Linked DNA regions of Alligator mississippiensis. The protein of the gene in region 2 purifies or fractionates together with the protein of the main gene of each other region. This does not show direct contact. Links are inferred from orthologs where the notes say so. Each region holds a gene or a part of one and is shown on either strand. Other genes may lie near its edges. The genes, in order: SNX7 and SNX4.

Region 1 (7,252 bases), on a different chromosome or scaffold from region 2:
TAGCTGACTACCTGGGCTATTATTCTGAAGTGTTATCAGATTTTTTCTTTTACTTTTTTTTATGATCCACAACTCATAAATGATTCATGTCTGCAATCTCCATCCAGAGGTTACAATCCATGCAATCAAAACAAACCTAATGCTGATACAATAAAATGTTACTTTCCATAAATTTGGTAAGCAAATCTATAAACCTTTTCAAATAAGAAAGATATTTAATGTCTTCTGTCTGTAATCTGACACTTCAGTTTTAATTTTGTAGACTTAGAAACTTGAGGCTCATAGGGTAGGTGGCTATTACATTAACATCCAATATACTGTATCAGATTTGGCCAGGACAGTCTCAGATTTCATGGGACAGTCCTGGCCAGTTGGTGGAAATTGAAACAAAAGTCCTGGAATCTCAGGGATGTGGGGGGCAGTCTGGTGGGGAGGTGGAGCAGCATGATGTTCTAGGCAGGTGGTTGGGCAGGCACCACTACTGTTGTGCGGGAGCAAGCCAGGTGGACTGGAGCAGTGCCCAGCCCACCTCCAGCTGCTGCTCAGGAGGAGCCAGGCCAGGCATGTGTGGGTGGGGTGGCACCTGCTCCAGCCTACCTGCCTTCCTCACACAGCAGCAGGGGTGCCTGTCTGCCCACCCACCATACCATGCTGCTCCACCTCCCCACTGGACTGTACCCTGTGCCCCTGCCTGTCTGCTTTGGCCTGCAACAATGCTGCTGACTTGGGGAGGGGAAGAGGGCAGTGTCCTGGATTCCCCTAAAAAATGGTCACCCTACATGTACATTTATTTTCTTTAGTCTTTATTCAGCAAACAGATTTAGTAGCATATTCTCTACCAGCACTTAAGTGGTAAGGAAAAAATCACTTTCTGGTATGTTGGATTGATATATTAATGCGCTGAGTAAAAGTGTACCTGCATATACTTAATTTCTTTTTAAAGTTTTATTTCAGCTTCTACACTTTAGAAACATCACTGGGCATTTCACCAGTTAAAACAAAAAATCGTATGTGGGGGGAAAAAAAAAAATTACCAACCAACAAAAGCCAACCGGTTGGAATTGTAATATTTGTTCATGCAAGAGGGAAGAGAACTGTATCCATCCAAGGTGTGAAAGCACAAAGGATTCTACAAAACCATAGTACAATAAAATAAGGTCATGGTGTTACCGCTCAGGCCTTGTATGCAGGCACCCAGACAACACAAAGGACCACTCTTTTTGAAGCCAAATCCAAAATTAGGCCCTAAAAAGCAAGTAGCCTGCAAACTCTTTCAAATGCCTACCCCTATTATTACTACCAACATAGTGAAAAATTGGTCGGGCCTCAATCATAAGATTTGCTTTGTTGGGGTTTTTTTTTGGGGGGGGGGGGGCGGTTAAACTAGATTTTGAGCTTTTTGGATAACTTCAATCATGTTTTCAACCCTTTCATCCTCTTTCCCAACTGATTATTAATATTATAGACTCCAGGAACTGGAGTATTAGACAACAAATATCAAGAGATTAATGATAAAAAAGCAAAAGAGTTGGCAATGCTGGCTTCCTACAGAGTGGTTCCATTGCAGTCTGAGATTATTGAACACAGTTAATGGTGTATCTCCGTGTGCACACATTTAATCAATTTATTGCCTTGGTACCAAAGCAAAATATCAGTGTATAAATTGAGAAAAATAGATAATATACACATTTTAAACTGTTATTGGAAAAAAAATTGAAACTATTCTGAAATGCGCATATTACAGAGCTTAAATATTGCAGGCACATTACATAACTGAAACCCACATAGTAGTCTAATATAGATACATACATTTGTATACAAGTCCTGTAACTTAATCACAAGTCCCAGTAGTTATTTATTTACACTTACTGAAAATTATTAAATGATCATTTTAAAGAGGAGTTGCCTATTAGATATGTCAACACAAGCAGTCAAGACAAAAATCTCTAACAGATCAATTGCTTCTGGAAGTTTAGGAGCACAAAGTTTAGTACAGGAAGGGCTGAAGGATAACTAGGCTTTCCATGAAGTGTACCTACTGGTTCCTGCCTCTACCTGGTAGGCTTTTCATAGTAACACAGACTCACCCACGCCACCCAGGCCAACTGCTTGCATGATAATAAACAGCAAAGTGAGAGAGTGGAGTTTGCGCCCATGGACAAATCTACCAAAGAGTGCCGCCCAACCACAAATGCCACCATAAGGGGAATGGTTGAGAGACAGGCTTTTAGTTTCCAAAATAGCCACTGAAGAAGTGGCTCTACTTAATTTAATGTGGTGGGGAGCACCTCAAGCAAAGACGAGAAGTCATCCAAGGGCTCGCTCCTTAGCTGGCAGAAAGGGAGAAGGAACTTGGCAGAGGCCGTGGAGACGCTCTGCAAAGCCACGCTCTTTCCCTCCTTAGTTCCCAGATCATCTTGGCTCTGTCCTCCAATCCTTCCAAGACTGTTGTAATGAACTGTTGGCTGAGTGTGGTTTATATTTTGTAGGCTAGGCTCTACAGATTAACGTGGAAACTATTTAAAGCCACAAAACCCTTCTGTATCTAATCGATGGGGAATGTGAGAGAAGAACACCTCTTTTCCCCCCTTCCCCCCACCAAAACACCATGGCAGCACTGCGGGTTTGTGAGCGGAGCCGGCCTTGTGCCTGCCTGCAGGCTGTTGGGGCGGAAGCCCCCTTTGCCGCGGCGGACAGGAGCCGGGGCAGCGGCAGGGCTGGACGGCACAAGGCAGGAGCGGGCCAGGCGGCCTCGCCAGCTCCCAGCCACCGTGTCCGCCTCCAACTGCGCTCCGCAGCCGGCGGCGAGCGGGGCCCGGCTCCGAGGAGCTCTCCGAGGGCAGCAGCAGTGTCCCCGTGTGCCAGGGCCGGGCCGGGGCCCGTGCTGCTGCCTGCGCTTTGCACACTTGCCAGGGATGCGAGGCAAAGGGCAGGGAGGGCGCGCCTCGCCCCCTACCTTGCTGAAGACCTCCAGGTCCTCCTCGTCGTCGTCAAACGCCAGCACGTCCGGGGAGCCGGGCGGCTCGGCGCAGGGCGGCGGCGGCGCCGCTTCCCCGCTCTCCGGCTCCATCCTTCCCCGCCGAACCCGGGCGGCCGCTCCGCTCCCCCGGGCGCACCAATTGGCTGCCTGCGGCGCCCGCCCCGCCCCGCCCCGCCGCAGCGCGCAGGACTGGAAGCGGCGGCCGAAGGGGGAGCCAGCCTGGCCGCCCTCCCTTCCTTCCGCCGGGGGCGGGGACCGGGGCCGCGGTCGCGGCCGCGAGCTGCGCGGGGCAGGGAAACGCAGCCGAGAAGCTGCCGGGGGCGGGGGCTCGAGGGCAGCGCTTGCCAAACTCTTGACACTGCGCACCATCTCCTAAACACGACACAGCCGTCAGTACCGCCACCAGATGTTTCGGTTCGACCTTCAGTACCACCAGCAAACTTTTGTCATATAAAGTATGATAAAAGTTTGTCATATAAAGTAATGACAATAAATCTTTTAGCGCGCCCCACTGGCGGGTTGTGTGCGTGGCGCGGCGGGCTGCGAACCGCTGCTCTCGGGGCCTGCCTGGGCTGCACTCAGCTGACCTTGTTCAAAAGTTCGCGTGTACACACCGTGCACGTACTCCCTACACAGGCACACGCGCACCCTTAGTTACTCTTTTGGCCCAAATGATGAATTCGGGGGCTTACACACTCTGTGTGTCTCTCTCTCTCCCTCTCAGTTTCTCAGGGGCTTACGCACACGCACAGTTACCCTCGAGTAGACACACATGCATCCATACACCGTTACTCCGCACACGCACTCACACACAGTTACTCCACACGTGTGCACTCACGCACCCTTAGTTACTCCACACACACACACTTTTAGTTACTCTTTTGGCCAAAATGATGAATTGAAGGGGGGGGGGCGGGTCCTACGTCAGGGCTATTTGTTAGGGCAGTTCTGTTACTGAAGAAACACGTACACAAAGTCCCGCTTCACAGGCGCAGAGGACTGCAGGCAGTTTCGTTCCAAGTGAGCTGGGTGCCTATGTTCTGTTTCTCCCCCGCGCACGTTCACCACTGCTGCTCTGCCTCACTGTCTCTAACGCACGCAGCTGTGAAACTAATCTACAGGCTTCTGCATTAGCAATCATAAAATATATGGCTTGGATCTGACCTGTCATATCCCTTGGATAGTCTTGCTATGTTTGTAGCTGTCTCCTCTAATGAAAGGGCCTAATTGCTCTTTCTGTTGACCCTGAAAGAAGGCGCATTCATTGACTTTATGAGGTCAGGGATTGTCTTTGGGTCACAGACTCACTTCATAGCACCTACTGCAACTTTCACATACCAATACATTACATCCAGAGAAAGACATTAAAAATGTTAAAGTTGCAAAGTCAAGTATTCAAAAATTAGAAGATACCAGTATTAAGGCTGCCCCACCGTACCTAAGTCATCACCCTTGTGCTTATACATTATGATGTGTTCTTTAATTATATGACTGTATACTAAATTTTCCACAGCACTCTTGCCTCATTCAGTGCAAAGCGTGGATGGTTCTCTGCAAATGAAGCCAAAATATGAAGCAGATGAGGCTGTTATCTGTAGAAAATTTGCCTTGTTTATTGCAGAGATGGTAAGATGCATGTGGATTTTGGAAGAAAAGAAAGGATGTTCGTATTATTTGTGAAGTTGAATGCCACCTTGGAGAACTGGGATCTCTCTCTGCCTGAACCACAGGATCTCTGTCTGATGTCAGGCAAATCATTAAACCAAACTTTTCACAGCTGGCCATCATAATTTGTGCACCACATTTTCTGGATGTCCAATGTGGCATACCTAAATTCAATGGGAGTTGTGTTTTAAACCTAGAATGTAGTATAAAATTCTAAGGGCATGTGTAGGTGAAACAAGGAGCATGTGTGCATGACACTTTAAAGTGGGTTAAATGCTTTGGCACCGCTTTAATGGTGTTGGTGTTTGCACATGTCAACAGTGTATTGCTGCCGGAATTGCATTAATTCCAGCCACTGTAGTACATTCAGTGGCATAATGCGCCTTAAATGACTTTAGGGTGCAGCAAACTAAAACAGCTCCAAAGAGTTTGCCCTATAGCTGTGGAGAGAAGCACCAGGCTCCATCCAGTTCAGGGGCTGTGCAGGCAGCCTGGCAGCAGCCCGGGAGGGCAGGCTCCACCAAACAAAACAAAAAAGCAGCAGCCTGATCTTTTTTTTTTCCCCACTGGAGCCTGCCTGTCTGCATGGGCTGTGTAGGAATCCAGTCCTTCCCTCCGCAGCTGCAGTGCCCCCCAGGACCGCCTGAGCCAGGCACCTGCGGGCGGGTGCTGCCTGGGATGGGGGGGCCACCACTGCCGCAGAAGAAAGCACCAGGGTCCCACCCCCCGCCTACAGCCCAGGGACCACTCTGCCTGCCAGCAGCTCGCCTTCCCCTCTCTGCCACCAGAGAGACAGGTAAGATACAGGTGTACACAACACAGGGGTTTACTTTGTCCTAAATTGAAGCAGTGTTTTTAAAAACCCACCGCTTCAATATAGGGCCCCCGTTTCATCTACACACACCCTAAGGCACTAGATGCGTGCAGCTGGGAACCCTAAATCAATGGACAGTTTTGGTCTTACTTCTCTGTACCTCAGTCCCTGCTTGGAAAATGGGAATAATAATATTCCCCACTCCCAGAGGCGTGTTATGAAAGTAATCTATTCACATTTGTGAAGCAATGAAGAATAGCCCATGAAGCAATTCATTAGTATTCAGTGCTGCACAATAAATGAGGTCTTGGGTCATGTATTAAATGAGACAGATAAAAAAAATTGGATACTTACTTGAACTTCATTCAAACAAGGGAAAAACATGTGACTATGTAATCAAAACCAATATCATCAGATGTACACACAAGGGCTGAATAAATATTACCTAGACCTGATTTAAGGTTAATTCTATCACTTCCTAATTGTGGACTTTCTGAATTTATAAACTTAACCAAGGTTTGAAATATAATTTCCTGACTTAAAAAAAAAAACCTGAGCAATTCTAGTATAAGGATCAATATTCATTTTCAACTAATGTTATCACTTTTCTATTCAAAGTGCTGCTCTACCATGGAAATAACAGAGTAACTGGTAGCAGTAATAGTGGTCTGGCCACTAGAAGGAAATAAAATATGCACTTTTCCAGTGAATTTCACAGCTGTTTGCAGACAGCAGAGAAGTGCAGACTCAGGACTCTTGAGGAGTATCTTTTACTCTGGTGCTCCAAAGCCCTTTCCGTTCCTACTTCTGTCCAACAACCTAACCAGCCTCCCAGCCCTTGACCTCTTCTACTGTCCCTAATCTGTCACTAATCCTCCAGCTCTTAATTAAAGCTAAGAAATATGTTGGATGCTCATTTGAAAGCCATCATGCACCAGTGATAAGCTTTGCGCAGCCAATCATCTGATCACTTCTGTTTAATCTGAGTAGTGGACAAAAGTTTTTTGCCCTCTTTATATTCGTATTGTGAATACAAAACATTATATTGCGAACCTGTTGGTCTTCTTTTAGCTCTGTGGTGCTAAAATTATTAATATGTTTATATTCAGATGCTATGCAGAGAGAAAATACAAACAAACAAGAAAAATACATTTTAAAAGAACAAGAATTCTAGGAAAGAACACATCAGCAGAGGAAAAACCCAATAAACTAAGGAACACTCAGTCAAAGAGAGGATAAAACTGATATACTGTAGCCTCAAATGCTAAGGCTCTCATCTGTATCTTTCCAATTTTTCAAAGTTTTACAGATCTTGGTTTTTTATTTCTGTGCGAGAGAAGTCTCACAAGTTACTTTAATTGGATTTTTCCCTTATTATAGCTTTTTTATTATCTTATTAATCAAGCTTACTGAGACATGTATTAAGATTCCTGACTGGTAGTGCTTATCTCTCTCTGTTTTATCTATATTTGAAGTACAATCTGTGAGAAAAAGGTATTCATTGTACTTCACTCTAGGAAATTGCACTCTTGCTGTATTTAATACACTTATTTGGACTTCTAATCATCTCAAGGACTTACTGTTAGAAAAGCAGAAGCCATATTGCCATTGCTGTCTACATCCCTGCTGTGATCACTCAAAAAGGAGGTCACATAATAAGGAGTGAAAGTAAATTTAGAGAAGCATCAACTTACACAGCAGTTGTCAATGGAATTTCCAGCAGCTCACTGGCTGTACTCTCAACCCATGCAGGCCCAGCCATGCGGTATTTAGCTGAAAGGAGCTCCTAGAGG
Region 2 (7,150 bases):
TGTGGACTGCATATTAGATCCCACTGCACCCTGACCTGCAGGTGTAGAAGGGCTTAAAGTTTGAGTGACTGCTTATAGATCAAGTCTGTAACTCCCTTCAGAGACATAATTTTCAAGGACCAAAGAACACAGGATTAACAGTTAGATACAGCATATACTAGTAGGATTAGTTGTGCATCTGGAGCATCTCTCTCTTTTTATCATGTAGTCACGTGAAGAGGTTGTATTATTTATTTATTTATTTTTTTAATAGACAGATTTGGCATGACAAACAGGAAACCAATTCAGTTCTCTCACTCAAGTTGTGCTTGAACCTAACCAGAAGTTTAAAATGAAATGTTATTATCATTATCAGCTTACTGTTAGGTACCTTGTCTCAATGAGGTAAGCAGTGTAGGTTTCTTGCATGTTCACGGCATTTCTTCCAGTCCGTTTTTCTGCTTCTGAGACACTGATTTCTATTTTCTTCAATAAACAGTCTTCCATCTTAAAAAAAGAAAGGCTGCATATCACATCCATTACATAGAAATTGATTTGTTAACTATGCCTTCCTCTTTTCCCCACCCTTGTTACTTAGCCTGCAGAACTGAGACCTGTCTTACTAAGGAGATCAACAGTACTACCCAGCATGCAAAATTAAGTATATATGCATTTCTTGAGTTTAAGTCTTCATGCCCTGTATGTCTCGCCATACTTCCACATACAAAATTCCCTTGCCTGCTCTTGCGTCAGGAGCCAGACAGCTGTTGTGACATGTGGAACTCCCCTCCAGCCAGTCAGTGCTGGCCACCCACTTGTCTTTGGGCAAGCCGCCCACTGTTACACCTTGGTGGTAACTAATGAAGTTGTTAGTTATCGGGGCAGCCGCCCGCCTAACAAGGGCCTAATGTACATCCTCCAACCTCCCTTTATATGCATCCTAAGCCTCACAGATGGTTCTCACAGCTGTGCAACATCCCAGCAGTGTTGAGCCTCTTGCATTCTGCCCTGCTACAGGCCACATACACACCACCCCTCTCACTCCACCAGCTCTCACCCAGTCTATCACACCACCCTCTTCACAGCCATACTCATACCACCCTACTCATGGAGATCCTCGGGCACCCCTCAGTCAGCCCTGGCACAGTCTTTCAGGCCTCTCCCACAGCCCTCACCTGAACAGGACTGAGCGATTCACAAAACACTAGGCCAACTCCATCCTTTTCTCATGCCAGATATCACACCCCAGCTATTCCCATTAAGGAATGATGACACCCCGTTTAAAAGCAGCTCTCACTCCACCACCTCTAAGGCCTGAGGCCCAATTGCAGCCTCAGGTGCCCTAAGGCTTACCTGGACCAAGCCAAACCTCCTCTCCAGGGGCACAACCTACTCATCCCTCTCACCAGGGCCACAACTTACTTGGCCTAGCACCCAGCCTCCTCTCTGGAAGCACACACCAGGCCCTCCAACTCTCACCCCTTCCTGGAGCTCACGTGACTTTCACCCAACAGGCTTAGGTACCCCTGGCCCCACTACCCTTTCTCCAGGCTCTTATACCCCTAACGGGCTCAGGTGCCCCACATGGGCACGCCCGGCCCTACTTCCCTCCGCTGTTACAGTAACTCACTGGATGGTGGCGGCAGGGGTTTAGGCACCCCAACCCACCTTACACTGGGGAGGCTCTCAATCCCGGCATTAAAGCAGCCCTACCCTGCCAATGGCAGGACCACCAGGTCTCCCTACCCCAGCAGGAGGACAGTTTCAGATCATGCCCAGGACCAATGAAGCCTCCTCCATCCCCATAACCCCCACCCTTACCTCTAAAATATCCCTGATTAGCAAGAGAGCTGGGTGATACTACTCCCTCGACTGCAGGAAGCAGACTACCCTCTCTCCTGGCTGGGCTTTGTTTGAAAATGGCCACCCTCATCAGGCACCTGCAGGCTGCCTGCTTCAGCCCTTAAAGTGGCAAGCGCGGGATGGAGGTGCTCCGCCACCCACCTTCCCCCTTAAAATGAGTCCCGAGGGGGAAACTTCTCCCCGCTGCAATAGCCCCTAAGTGGCGAGCGCCCCCCTGGCGCTCTCTCGGCCACAGCGGTCTTCAGTCAACTTCGCATCTACAGCGCTACTATTCCTACGGGGTCTCGGCAGGAAAAGGTGCACAAAAAGTGGAGAATCCAGACAAACGTACGTTAAACCACAGGACGGATCCAGCGCGTCCTCCTAATGAATCACAATACAAGTTTAGCATCGCGGCCAAATTTCACCGCAAAATTGCACGCTCGAAGGGCTAGACGGCATCCGCTTCTGTCTAGGCAACGAGTAGAAACGCGACGCAAAATTCATATTTATATATTTTTTTTTTTCAAAAAATCAAGGCTTCCTACTTGCCGATTTAAGCCAATACCACGAGAAAGAGCAAGAAATCCTGGAAAATTAAGATAACGCTACGGAAAGTCGGGAGCCAGCCGGAGAGAGAAGTAACCTGAATAATGATCTTAGCGGCTGCATTTTTTAATTAACCGCTAATAATGAGAATAATGAGCACCCCCTACGTTGTCTTTGGAGCTAAACGTTGCTTTTTAAACGCACACTTTGTGTCGCGGACCGTCTCGCGCCGCCGGCTCCACGTATTCGGGGGGTTCGGTTCAAATGTTTCTCCCCACGCCGCAGCGGCGGCGAGGTAACACGTCCCAGGGGCTCCTGAGCGTTTGGAGGATAAGGTAATCAACTAGCACCCTAATGAGGCGGGGGCTAATTACCAGGCGACCCTGGCACACGTGCTGTGGGGGTCATGGGGACGCAGGGCACTGCTCCTGACAGCCACGGGGAAGGAAATAACCTGCGGTATCGGGGCACTTCGCTGCGAGGTTTGTTTTCTTAACCCAGGCCGGCCCCGCGCTGCCCCCTCGGCCCCGCCCGCTGGAGGGAGGCTGGAGGGCGGCGGTCACGCTACGCGAGCACGGGGCTCTGCCGGGCCTGCTAGGCCGCAGCGCCGCCCGCCCGCCCGCGCCGCCCCGGCGCGCAGCCCCCCTCAGCCCCTCACCGCTGCGGCTCGGCCGCGCTGCTCCGCCGCCGGCTCCTCGGGCGGTAGCGGCGGCGGCTCGGGCCCGTCCTCCCGGCTCCTCTCCATGGGCTCGGCCCGGCTCGCCCGCCCGCCCGCCGGCACCGCCTCCCGCACCGACACCGCCTCCGCCTCCGCCGGCCTGAGGCGCCGGGCGTCCCGAGGAGGAGGAGGAGGAGGAGGGAAGCGGTGGTTTGGACGGCTCCCCTCACACGCGTGTGTGTACACGTACACACACACACACACACTCTTTATAACCTTTATATAGAGCTCAGCTCGCAAAAGTTACGAGCAACAGCCCCTCCGTACTGAGGTGCGCGTTTCCCTCGCTTGACGCCCCTGGAAACTGGACCCGCTTTACCACATCACCAAAAAATGGCCCGGATGGTGCTGATCGTTTCGACCGCGTTTACGAGACGATTTCGGTCCTCGCCCGCCGCTGTCGGCGACTACAGGACCGCGTGGCGCCAGCAGCGAGCGTGGATCCGCGCCGGAGACTCGATTTCAGCGCGCGACGCCGCTGCCGATCGCGTCCGAGCGAATTTACCTCGCGGGTAACGAATGTTTGGTGCTACGCAGGCAGTCCTCGGCCTTGCGACACAATCGGTTCCTGAAAACCGCGTCTTAAGTCGAAACGTTACCACTTGGAACTGATTTTCTCATAAGAAACAATGTTATAAATGGAGGATCGGTTCCTGAACCCAGGCCCGATACCCTGTTTTCACTAAAAATACCCCCAAATTTTGTACTCGATCAATTATAGATGAGTAATATAGCTACATTCATGTATTTAGACTGTAAATAGCAATCATCTTGATTTGGAAGGACTTCTTTGAGGCGACTTTACTGGACTTTTCGAAGGCCTCTTAGTTGGACTTGTTGAAGGGCTCTCGGCTGGAGTCGTCTCGGGAGTCTCGGCTGCAGGTTTTCGGGAGTCTCGTCCGCTTGCTTAAAGAAAGCGTCCAAGGAAGCGTGGACAGACGTTCTCCAGGGAGATGAGCGACGCAGCGAACTTGTTCGCTGGCGTGGCATTGCATCGGATCGTCGAAACTGGCGTTGTAAAGTCAAAACAGGGCGTCAATTTATAGACGTTGTAACTCGAAACGTTGTAAGTCGAGGACTGCCTGTACTACAGCCCTTTCACAGCATCTGATGACATTCACTTGGGTCCACGAAAGCTTGTGCTCTACATCGATATCTAGCTGTATAGATAGAGATATCTCTACGCCTGTATCTCTATATGTCTGACATCAAGCAGAAGGTAGGGTAGATTTGCACCTGAGAGATATGTGCTTTTCCTGGTTCACACAGCATGGCGCTCAGGCTCTTTGTCTCAGCCTTGCTTATTAACGGGTGCTCAACACTACCTTAAGGTGACTGCATCGATTCATGTCTGGGATTTCGTGGGGCCAGGGGGAGGATGTACATAAATGGTAGCACTGCCGAACATAGCAAAGACACTGCCTTTCATACCACGTTCCAGGTCATGCATCCCAGGCTGCCACTTGTAACCACATTGCATCGCTATTTAGTTTGTGATCCCCCACATCCTTTCTGCAGTATTAGTATCTAGCCAGTCAGTCTCCATTTTGTATTTGTGTGTGCGAATCTTCCTTCCCTGGCGCTTCTCTTTACTGAAGTTCCTCTGGTTAATTTTGGGCTATTTTTCCAATGTATCAGTATAATTTTGAATTCTGATCTTGTCCTTCAGTGTGCTTACAACCCCACTCAGCTTGCTGACATCTTCAAATTATGTAAGTGTTCATTTAATTCCATGATCCAGGTCATTAATTCAAGTTTTGTATGGTACTGGGCCCAATAGAGCCATCTTCGGGATGCCACTGGACCTCTCAGTTTGACAGCGAACCACTGACAATGACCCTTTGAGTGAGGTTTTTCAACTGTCTGAAGGTGAGTTGAGAACTGTGCGCCCACCTTCCTCTAGACCAGCAATTCTGAACCTTTTTCAGTCGACGTACCCCTCGGTCTCAGAGTGAGACTTCACTTACACCCTAACGTGACTGAGTGATGGGTGTTCGGAGTGACGTTTCTGGTGTGAGGTTGAGGCATGGAGCAGCAGTAGGATATCTGGTTTCCATGTGCATGCGTGTCTTATGGCAGTAAAACCCCAGCAATTTCAAGTTGCCAAGATGTTTTTTAAGGCCCTTCAACCTGTGTTAGACCATGTATGAGATATATCTCACGTACCCCTGATGAGGCTTCACGTACCCCCTGGGGGTACGTGTACCCCCAATTCAGAACCACTGTTCTAGACCATATTTCTCCAATTTGCTTACAAGACGGTCATGCTGGAGAGTCTCAAAAAGCATTTCTAACATCAGGTTATATCACATCTATTGTTTTCCCCATATCCACCAAGCCAGTTACTCTGTCCAAGGAGGACATTAGTTTAATTTGATACCATTTGTTCTCAGTACAGCCAAACTGGCTGTTTTTATCAGCTTGTCCTGCAGCTGCTTATAAATTGATTGTAGAAAAAATTGTTACTGAATCCCTCTAGTTATCAATGCTGGCCTAGCCAATCTATAATTACCTCCTTTCTTCCCCTTTTGAAAGGTAGGTACTATATTTGCCCTTTTTCAGCCCTCTGGGACTTCACCCATAGTCTTCAAGTTCTTGGACATAATTGCACCTGGTTCAAAAACTGCTTCAGCCAGCTCCCTAGATATCCTACAGTGAATTTCATCAGGAACTGTTGCTAACTTGAATACATCTAACATATTGAGGGGTGTTGGTTGTAGCCATGTTGGTCTAAGGACATAGGCAGACAAGGTTCTTTGGGTGAATTTGATATCTTTTTTAGACCAACTTAAACAGTTGGAAAAAAATATATTTTTTTTTTAGCTTGCTAACATTTTTTTCCCAACTATTTAAGTTGGTCTAATAAAAGATATCGGATTCACCGAAAGAACCTTGTCTGTCTAACATATTGAAATATTCTTTAACTGTTCTTCTCCTGTTTTGTGGCCTGTGCTTGTGTCCACTTGCTAACATTAATTGTGTTATGTACCTGGTCATAATTGTCTTTTATTGTGAGGACTGAAGTAAGGAGGTCTTGAATACTTTAGCCTTCTCTGTCTTGTCCAGTATTTGTCCTATTAAAATAACAGATTTGTTCTTATTCCCTTCATGCTTGTGCAATTCCTTTATGTTCATTTCCATTTCCAGTTTCTATACAATCCATTCTTAATGTTCAGGTCATTATAGACTTTTGATGCACCCATATAGGTCCCTTAGGTAGGATACTTCCCATCTTTCCTCCACCTCAGGATAGATTGTCCTTGTGTATTTTAACTGCCAGCTCTCCTTTATTCCTTAGATTACCTTCTAAAGAGGCCCTACCTATTACTTTCCCTGCTTTTTGAAGCCCATTGTCATTATTCTGCTGCTCTCATGCTTTCCTTTCCTTAGAATAGCAAACACTATAAGTTCATGATCACTGTTACTTAAATTACCTTCCAACTTTCAGTTCTCAAGAAGTTCCTCGCTGTTAGTCTGAATCAGATCTCAAATAGTCTCTCCTAAATGACTTTTTCCCCTACACAGTCAAAGAACATTACGTGCTCTCTGTCCTGCTATAATTAAAGTCCAGGCCCTATTTTTGGGTACTTCTGTTAGTCGTTCAATAAAAGCCGCATCCTTCCCCCCCCCCCCCCCCCCCCCCCCCCACTTCAGGTGGAGAGAAGACCTGTACCCTGACATTACACTTGCTTCTTTTCCCTTTCTACTTTTATGCAATGACATAAATCAACTCTGCATCTCACTTCTTCCTAAACATCAGAGCAACCATATTCATTCTTGATATACAGTGTAATGCCCACTCCTTTTTTGCCACCCTTCCTCTAGAACAGGGGTGGCCAGAGCTACTTGCCCTGGGAGCCACATCCGATCCTCCACCAAAGTTCAAGAGCCGGAGAGCCCGGGGTGGAGTGGGGAGGGTGCTGAGTGACCCGGAGTAGAGGTAAACCCCCCCCAACACACACACACCCCACCCCTCCTGGCTGCAGTTTGGCCACAGTGTATGGACATGGTGGTCTTCAAGAGTTTGAGCGACCAGCCTCACATCCACCAGACACGCATGAC

Evidence for each region.
Region 1: the proteins of SNX4 (region 2) and SNX7 purify together in Homo sapiens (affinity purification with mass spectrometry; 3 studies listed by BioGRID and IntAct, counting the BioPlex papers as one, with this or other methods). This does not show direct contact. The link is inferred for Alligator mississippiensis from reciprocal best matches to the Homo sapiens genes SNX4 and SNX7.

The regions. Positions count from the first base shown.
Region 1 is NC_081828.1:36,735,338-36,742,589, reverse strand, and holds the start of SNX7 (sorting nexin-7), read right to left. Parts: upstream 3,120-7,252; 5' UTR 3,071-3,119; coding exon 2,957-3,070; intron 1-2,956. UniProt on the Homo sapiens protein: Involved in the regulation of endocytosis and in several stages of intracellular trafficking. Together with SNX4, involved in autophagosome assembly by regulating trafficking and recycling of phospholipid scramblase ATG9A.
Region 2 is NC_081827.1:243,929,728-243,936,877, reverse strand, and holds the start of SNX4 (sorting nexin-4), read right to left. Parts: upstream 3,163-7,150; 5' UTR 3,116-3,162; coding exon 3,029-3,115; intron 2,923-3,028; exon of another isoform or gene 2,825-2,922; intron 2,707-2,824; exon of another isoform or gene 2,575-2,706; intron 1,888-2,574; exon of another isoform or gene 1,801-1,887; intron 487-1,800; coding exon 371-486; intron 1-370. UniProt on the Homo sapiens protein: Involved in the regulation of endocytosis and in several stages of intracellular trafficking. Plays a role in recycling endocytosed transferrin receptor and prevent its degradation.